Linked DNA regions of Kluyveromyces lactis. The protein of the gene in region 1 purifies or fractionates together with the protein of each later gene. This does not show direct contact. Links are inferred from orthologs where the notes say so. Each region holds a gene or a part of one and is shown in the gene's direction. Other genes may lie near its edges. The genes, in order: GPA1, FUS3 and STE18.

The links.
Region 2: the proteins of GPA1 (region 1) and FUS3 purify together in Saccharomyces cerevisiae (affinity purification with western blotting; 3 studies listed by BioGRID). This does not show direct contact. The link is inferred for Kluyveromyces lactis from reciprocal best matches to the Saccharomyces cerevisiae genes GPA1 and FUS3.
Region 3: the proteins of GPA1 (region 1) and STE18 purify together in Saccharomyces cerevisiae (affinity purification with western blotting; 3 studies listed by BioGRID, with this or other methods). This does not show direct contact. The link is inferred for Kluyveromyces lactis from reciprocal best matches to the Saccharomyces cerevisiae genes GPA1 and STE18.

The regions. Positions count from the first base shown.
Region 1 is NC_006042.1:2,405,487-2,408,592, forward strand, and holds GPA1 (guanine nucleotide-binding protein subunit alpha), read left to right. Parts: upstream 1-1,110; coding exon 1,111-2,454; downstream 2,455-3,106. Other genes in the region: cytochrome c1 heme lyase CYT2, read right to left, coding at 1-345; SRX1 (sulfiredoxin), read left to right, coding at 2,795-3,106. UniProt on the Saccharomyces cerevisiae protein: Alpha subunit of the heterotrimeric guanine nucleotide-binding protein (G protein) that mediates mating pheromone signal transduction.
Region 2 is NC_006041.1:928,430-931,694, forward strand, and holds FUS3 (mitogen-activated serine/threonine-protein kinase FUS3), read left to right. Parts: upstream 1-1,559; coding exon 1,560-2,675; downstream 2,676-3,265. Other genes in the region: PEP1 (type I sorting receptor), read right to left, coding at 1-972. UniProt on the Saccharomyces cerevisiae protein: Together with closely related KSS1, FUS3 is the final kinase in the signal transduction cascade regulating activation/repression of the mating and filamentation pathways, induced by pheromone and nitrogen/carbon limitation, respectively.
Region 3 is NC_006041.1:557,323-559,483, reverse strand, and holds STE18 (Ste18p), read left to right. Parts: upstream 1-1,342; coding exon 1,343-1,615; downstream 1,616-2,161. Other genes in the region: TMH11 (Tmh11p), read right to left, coding at 473-790; ERV2 (flavin-linked sulfhydryl oxidase), read right to left, coding at 1,753-2,161. UniProt on the Saccharomyces cerevisiae protein: Implicated in the pheromone A- and alpha-factor response pathway. The beta and gamma chains of the putative yeast mating response pathway G protein play a positive role in initiation of the mating response.

The DNA.
Region 1 (3,106 bases):
TTTCTCTCTCTCTGTTGGCAAATTAACAGCTGTGGTATATTTCGGGTGTTCAGGTATCTCATCACTTGAACATTCGACATCCTCAGTGATGATCGATATGATTGGTGCTGGTGCTGCTGCAACTGCAGCACCGCCAGCAGAGCCATTAACGGTCTGTAGATGGTTTTTCAGCCATACATCCTGGGAAGAATGGTCTACCGGACAAACTCCTGACCCTTCAGAACTAGCCGGTGGATGATTTGGAGGTAGTGCTTTTGCTGATTCATTCTTATTATTAGTGCTCTGTTGTTTCAACCACACTTCCTTCGTGGAGTCATCCACAGGACACTTAGGCTGTTCTGGCATTCTTTTGCACTCCACAGTTAGCTTCTAAACAGTCGCGAATCCCCTTTAAGCCGCCAACGATGTTGCTTCTATATTTCGAACTATTGCGTTCAAGCCTATCCTGATGAAATGCGCATGAATAAGCTTTCCTGTATTCGCATGTTCTGCATACTTTTCCATTTCATTCATTTCTTTTCAATTGATATCAAATTGATGAAGTTTCAGAATGAAATTGATATCCACGGGAGATGACATTTCATTACCCGAATGTGCGACAAACATCCTTGTTTCTCACGTGACTTGACCTCCAGATGGAGACAGCTCTCCGTTGTACATAGCAATCGATCTTGCAGCCACCGTTAACATATTGTGGTGCAGTAATTACCTGCAGAGCGACTTCAACCTAAATCTGAAACAGGGACGTTGCTAGGAATGTTTTTTAAAAGGAAGCAAACCCTTAAACAGTGTCAAGTGCTTGTTTGTTTTTTACTTGCTTGTTTTATTTTCCAATTGAGCTTGATTTTAGTTGTCGTCTCTGTGAGATTTCTAGGGTATCTGAGTTGAGGTTCTTGACTCAAAGCTTCATCATGTTTTGAGGTTCCTATGATAAAGGCTATGCAATGCTAAATCAGGAATGTAAAGTAAATATTGCTACGTTACCTTTTAATATTAACATATATATAGACGGATTGGCCACATCGTGCCAACTACGGCGAAAACGTGAACTATAAAGGAAAATGAAACAAATGAAAGAAACTGACGCTGGCCGGCAAGAAATTAAGCATTATGGGTTGCGTCGCAAGTACAGGAAACTATGAGAACGAGGATGATCCCTTCATTCAAAATAAAAGGGCAAATGATCTCATTGAGCAAAATTTACAGCAGGAAAGGAATAAGAATAAGAATGAGGTGAAGCTCCTTCTATTAGGAGCAGGAGAAAGCGGTAAATCAACAGTGTTGAAACAAATGAAACTCCTACACCAAGGCGGATTTACCCATAGAGAACGAATGCAATATGGACAAGTCATCTGGGCAGATGCAATTGAGTCGATGAGAACGCTAATCTTACAAGCAGGCAAGTTGGGCATCGAATTGGATAGTGATTTGAAAAATGCACATTCGGGGCAATTGGTGAATACGGAATTACACCAATGCAAAGAGAAGATCTTCCGTGCTAACACATTGGACCAGATTGATGCCAGAATGGCGGGTGGTTCAGAGTTCCTAAACGAGTATGTGTTGAAATATAATGGCATAGGATCTAAGAAGAAGAGGCAAACCACGCTTGGATTCAAGGAATCAAATGGTGCTGATCCTGAAGAAGAGGATGAGACAGACGCTTTCTTGAGTGAAAAATTAGCCGGGACAAGTTATACTGGTTCCTCGGAGACTTCAGAGTTGAAACGTATAGACCAAAGTACCAACGAAGAAATTGCCTATGCAATCAAAAAGCTTTGGACGCAGGACAAGGGGATCAGACAATGTTTCAATAGGTCAAGTGAATTTCAATTGGAAGGATCTGCATCGTATTATTTTGATAACATTGAAAAATTCGCTCGAGTTGATTATGTTTGTGATGACATGGACATTTTGAAAGGAAGAATTAAGACCACTGGGATCACCGAAAACAGTTTCAAGATTGGACCAAGCACGTTCAAAGTTTACGATGCTGGGGGACAACGAAGCGAGAGAAGAAAATGGATCCATTGTTTCGAAGGTATTACTGCTGTGGTATTTGTAATAGCAATTAGTGAATATGATCAAATGTTATTCGAAGATGAAAGGGTGAACCGTATGCACGAATCGATAGTATTATTAGATACACTATTGAATTCTAGATGGTTTGCCAACACACCTTTCATACTATTCTTAAACAAAGTAGATATTTTCCAAGAAAAGGTGAAGAGATCTCCAATCAGAACATGGTTCCCCAATTATCCAGGGAAACTGGGTGATAGCGAGACTGGACTGAAATATTTCGAATCATTATTCTTAAGCTTGAACAGAAGTAACAAGCCCATCTACGTACATCGAACTTGTGCAACCGATACACAATCAATGAGATTCGTTCTAGGTGCCGTGACAGATTTAGTAATTCAACAAAACCTAAAAAAGAGCGGCATCTTATAAATCCTTTAGGTGTAATATGTCAGGTAACGCGCACACATTACATATAAGTTGTACATAGTTAAGCGATGAATAAGGTTCTAGATCTTTTAGAGGGTAACCTCAAATATTTGTCAGACCCCATCACAAAGGCCAGGTTAAAAGTGAAAAGGCAAAAAAACAGGGTGTTTCCGGGTAACGAAAGATAGCAAGCAAGTCTACTATTTAAGAACTTCAACAAGACACATAAGTACCCTTGCTTGACGAAGTTCTACTGTACTGACAATATATAGATACTTGCAGGATATAACCGTTAATCAAGAGCCATAAAAAAACATACACACCCAACATACCATTACAGAGAATGTCTATGCAGACGAGTTTGTGCAAGGAAAAGAACATCCCATTGAGCCAGATCATACGGCCCATTCAGCCGGTCCTAGACCATGCAAAGATCGATGCGATGATATCTACTTTCAAGGGAACACCGAAGGCGTCTCGAACAATGACCGAGTCACAAGCTGCAGAACGTGTTGCCACATTACCCGCCGATCAGCGTCTACCTCCAGTGGACGTCGCTGCCGTCCGTTACCCGGAAACAGGAGAAACAAGGTACTTTGCATTCGGCGGCTGCCATCGTCTCCAGGCGTACGACAAATTAGCCTCGGAATCCCAG
Region 2 (3,265 bases), on another chromosome or scaffold:
TTCGTTGACGTCCATTAGCGATTTACGAATCTGTGTTCCAAGGGATATTTGTTCAAACTTATCAGTGCTATCATCTTCCAATCTCCAGAGATTTGCGGCAGAATTTTCATTGAACCGATCTGATAATGTCAAGATAAATAGATGATTATCGGAAATGAACGTTGATGCTGGAGACAAATCCTGTAATTGTTCGGCAAACGGACTCAAACTCTTAAAATTAACATCGGTGATATACAACTTACTGGAAACATCTCCGAAAGGGGATAGTACGGTACTCTCCTGACAGATTACCTTGTCTTTTAATTTGTACAGTTTTGATTTTGATGATTTCTGTACGAATGAACAAAACATGTTTAAAGGGTTTGAATCATCATTACTTTTAGAACCAGAGCTGGCCAATTTGAAATTGTTACCATCTTTGGAATAAAACGAAATCTGCCTTAAGGTAAATTTACCATCCAGTTTACCTAGTTCATAGATATTGATAATTCTTGCATTCTTATTTGTGGGATGTGACTCGATTTCAACGTTGATAATCGGTTTACGATTTTCATCGCCGACGTTCGAATAATCAGAGAAGTCTATCTTATGATTATCTGCGTCTAGGAAAGTTAACTGTTTCCAAGATTTCCCTTTATCACCGGTAGCTAAAACGCCGTTTTCACCACTCAAATATGCAACATCTGCTTTATAAATCCGATCTAGTACCAAGTGATTCCATTCCTGAGGTTTGTTATCAGACGAAAGGGGCAATCCCACCGAATCCCAAGTAACACCATTATCCTCACTTCTATAAAGCTCAACACCACGAAGAAGTTTAAGAACTACTCTCGAATCATCAAATCCGAGGATAGACAAGCGGCCATGCGTGTCTACATCCGAATGGAACGATACCTTGGGTTTAAAATCCTGAGCCAAAACGGGCAGAAAGTTCCAAAGCCCCAGCCAAATAAGGATATTCCACCAAAACATGAGACAAAGACGTTAAAAGTACTGCAAGCAATGTAAAAGGGTTTCGTTTATATCGGTAATTGAGTATATACATGAAACACAAGCTAACTACCGCTAAGACCAAAATTACAACGAACTGTTGAACAATGGTTCAAAAGACAATCTGTACGATATATTCTATTTTTTCCTCCTAGCAATTTTGATAATACCAATTCTGAGCATTTGAAAGTTGGTAAAAGGGAAGAAGGAAAAAAAAGGACGCGTCACGTGAATGTGAACATAATTAAGAACCTTAATTTTTCCCTAAACTGTTGCAGCTTGTTTCACATTATCTCTGAAGAAATTAGTCTCGTTTCAAGATGAAACGGCCGTACTTAAGGGAATATGGGGAATGTCGCGTTCATGAATTACAAACAATTAAAGTGAAAACTTCGATGGTTTGAGGTTTTGAGGCGATTTAGTGAGAAACAAGAAGACTTAAGATATTACATATATATATATCATACCTAAAAGTGGGTAAATATGGATAAATTCTCAGGCAAGAAGGGGTGGACAAATTTTTGCTCTGGTTTTATTCATCCAGAGAACCAGAGATAGATAGTGTGACAATGGGCAAGAGGATAGTATTTAACATAAGCTCTGAGTTTCAACTACAGTCGCTTCTCGGTGAGGGTGCTTACGGAGTGGTATGTTCAGCGAAGCACAAACCCAGTGGAGAAATAGTTGCTATCAAAAAGATCGAACCTTTTGAGAAACCCCTATTTTCTATTAGAACATTAAGAGAGATCAAGATATTGAAGCATTTCCAACACGAAAACATAATCAGCATATTTGACGTGCAAAAACCATCATCTTTCGAACAGTTTAACGAGGTGTACATAATTCAAGAGTTGATGCAGACGGACTTGCATAGAGTGATCGTGACGCAGGAACTAAGTGAGGATCATGTGCAGTATTTTGTATACCAAACTTTAAGGGCGCTTAAAGTGCTGCATGGAAGTAATGTGATCCATCGAGATTTAAAACCAAGTAATTTGTTGTTAAACAGCAACTGCGATTTGAAAATCTGTGATTTTGGTTTGGCAAGAATTGTATCTGAAAGAGCAACAGATGGCGATGCCCATGTTGACGCTGATGACACGGATGATAACTCCCCTTCATCGGCGGCTAATGACGGTGACCCGGCAATTTCGGGAATGACAGAGTATGTGGCAACCCGATGGTACCGAGCACCGGAAGTAATGTTAACAGCTGCACAGTACTCCAAGTCCATGGACGTATGGTCATGCGGATGCATTCTTGCCGAGCTCTTGGGGAAACAACCGTTGTTCCCCGGGAAAGATTACAGAGATCAGTTGATCCTGATATTTCAGACTTTAGGGACACCCACGGAACAAGAATTGGTGGAGCTAGTAGAAAATAGACGTGCACGTGAGTACATTCGCTCGTTACCTAAGCATCCCAAGATCAATTGGCGGCGTAGGTTCCCGAATGCATCTGCAGCCGCTCTTGATCTCCTTGACCGGATGCTGCAATTCGATCCGAGGCTACGGATCACTGCCACGGAAGCGCTATCACATCCATACTTGGTCTCGTACCATGACCCGGACGACGAGCCCGAAGGAACTCCGATTCCTTCGTCATTCTTTCAATTTGACCAATGGAAGTCGCGGCTAAATACAAAGGATTTGAAGCGGCTGTTATGGAACGAAATCGTGTCATGAGACACACCATCCAAAAACAAACGAATGACTAAGTAACCACTAGCGTATTATATCATTTTCTTGTGTAGAGGTCTCCAAAATGAACAAAGAACACCATCAGATAAACATAATGCGGTTTTGTGCTTTGGAAAGGAAAAAAAGAAATTGAGACGAAAAGATCCCATTTCGGAGCCGCCGTTCTGCGATTATCTTAAATGCGATTTTTTCTTGTTTGTTTTAGGGGCCCCCTCGTTGCAGGGAAGGTCAAACCAAGAAAAACAAATTACACGCACTAGGAAATCTGTGAACGAAAATGCAAAAAATCCATTGATCCGGACTTTAACACGCATGACTCTTTCCTTCACTATGGTATGCTCTTCAGTCATACATTGCCACATGCAGTAATTCTTACGACCCGATACGATTCCTTCCCCTCTCTATCCTTGCAAACTTAGTAAACTGAGTAAGCTGCACCATTAATGTTTCGGGATGTCCGAGCTATTGTGTGATTCGAGTAGCGCACAGCAGTTAGACGCGATTTTTTTTTTCTAACGCGCTGCATTACTTCGCTTAGTATATCCAGCCATTTTTTGTTGTTTTGGTTTTTAGTT
Region 3 (2,161 bases), on another chromosome or scaffold:
CCCATCTCTTTCACCAGTTTCTGAGCCATCTTCAAGAAAGAACTCTACTTCTTCTGACAAGCATGAATCTCTGCTATAGGTATCGTGATTTAAGGGTTTGTTTTTGAAAAGTGAGAATAATCACTCAATCATCCACACAACCATACAATAAATATATCATACCCCATGCATTTTACAAGATTAAACTGGTTTTAATTTTCTGATAGTGGAATTTTTGACTATCAACCCTGCTTACGTTCACTACTTGTAACGAACACCTATCTTTTTTCAATAATATATTATACTACCATATATTATTATATTTCTCTCACTCTATATTATATGCATTTTACCAATTCAATATCATTTTTCCTGTTATAATATTAATATTTACTATTAGTTTCATGAATTCGACTTTAACATTAGACCTATATACAGATTTAGAAAAAAAACAGTTAAAACGAATGATATGTACTCACATTATGTAGTATTCTTATGGGTAGAATTCCTTGTACTTCTTGTAGTAGTACCAAGTACCCAGACCACCAAGAACAGTCAACACCACTGGCACTGGTTTCTTGAATCTGCCTGGGATACCTCTGGCGATACCGGTGACTAGCATCACACTGGACGCACCTAATGCGATTTCTAACCCGTTGTCAGCATTGTTCTTCAAAAGGTATCCAGCGTACCCGTAAATACCACCGAAGGTCAACCCGGCAACCAACGATGGAACACTTCCCTTACGGATGTAACCCATGGTACCACCAATGGTGGCTAGAGCAGCTAAAGCAAAACTTGGATGGTCCATTGTAATTGTTATCTTTGTGAATATTAGATGAACTCTGTCGGTGAGAACTAGACTGGGTTGTGCTATATAAATTGTGAGGTGTATTTAGTTTGAACATGTCTATCATGATGATGGTCATTGCATTTGTAATTTTGTTTTCACTTTTATCTCTGAATTTCATACAGGGAAAGCAAAGAAAAGGGATTGGATCGGGGTTCGACAGTCACGTGACTAAAAAAGGTCTCCTTTCCCAGGCGCTGGACAGCGTCAGTATGAGTTTTTTTTATGGCCAAAACCTCATTAGATACTGATTTGAGGTTTCAAGATGAACCACAACCAGACAAATATTGACTGAGATACTGGAGGTTCTCATGCCAGCGGGAAATTTAGTACAGGATTGCTAAAAGAAAACGTTGTTTCAGTCAAGGGTTTTATGTATATAAAGGTTTGTAATTGGTAGTTTTAACGCTTGGTACAACTGTTTTGCAGAAAAACTCGGTGCAGTGATAAGAGTGAGTAAAGATAAGCTCTCTTCCTTGGTGTAGTTTTCGAGTTTGTATTTGTGTACCACTGATGGGAGAGTTACCATATAAGATCCAGGAATTGAAATTGAGAAGAATCGAAGAATTGAATAATAAATTAAGAAATGAGCTAGCAAGGGAAAGAATGACTGCGTCAAATGCTTGTTTGTCCATAATCGACTATACCTCAACCCATAAGGATTACGCTGTTCCAGAAGTATGGGGTTACCCAATGGTTGGTGAAAACCCATATAATAATACTATGAGGAAGAACAATTTTGCTAGATCTCACGAGGAAACGAGTGCCTGTTGTACCATAATGTGATGATAAAAATATTGCTGCCGTATACTCTCTATGCTTATTAGTTACATATATATTTAGATAAAACGAAATGCGAATGCAACAATATTAGATCTTATTCTTTCAATTGACACATACGGAGGGTAAACGATTCCCTCACTTCATCCCAATTGTTTCTCCTCTTTGTTCAACGTTACTTTGTTCATTTTCAAAGATGGATCGATATTACCGTTCTCGTCAGTGCATCCACAGTCGTAATCTTCTAAGATTGTGTTACAATCGTACCTTGGTTTTTCAAGATGATCGTTCACTAGATTATGAATATGACAGCCCCATAAAGCAGCAGTGGTTCTACTGGCTACTTGTGGTGGGTATTTCTTCAACATCTTGACGAAATGGTAAGAACATTCGCCACATGGATATAACTCCGCATATAGGTAAAGAAATTCACGTAGTTTCGTTTTCTCTTGCTCTGTAGGCTCGTCGGGAAATCTGGCTAAAAGAGTGTGGAAATATTTCCATGAAGCCCGCCCCAAAGCCTTTTTCGCCTCCTGATCAGGCATCTTCGGC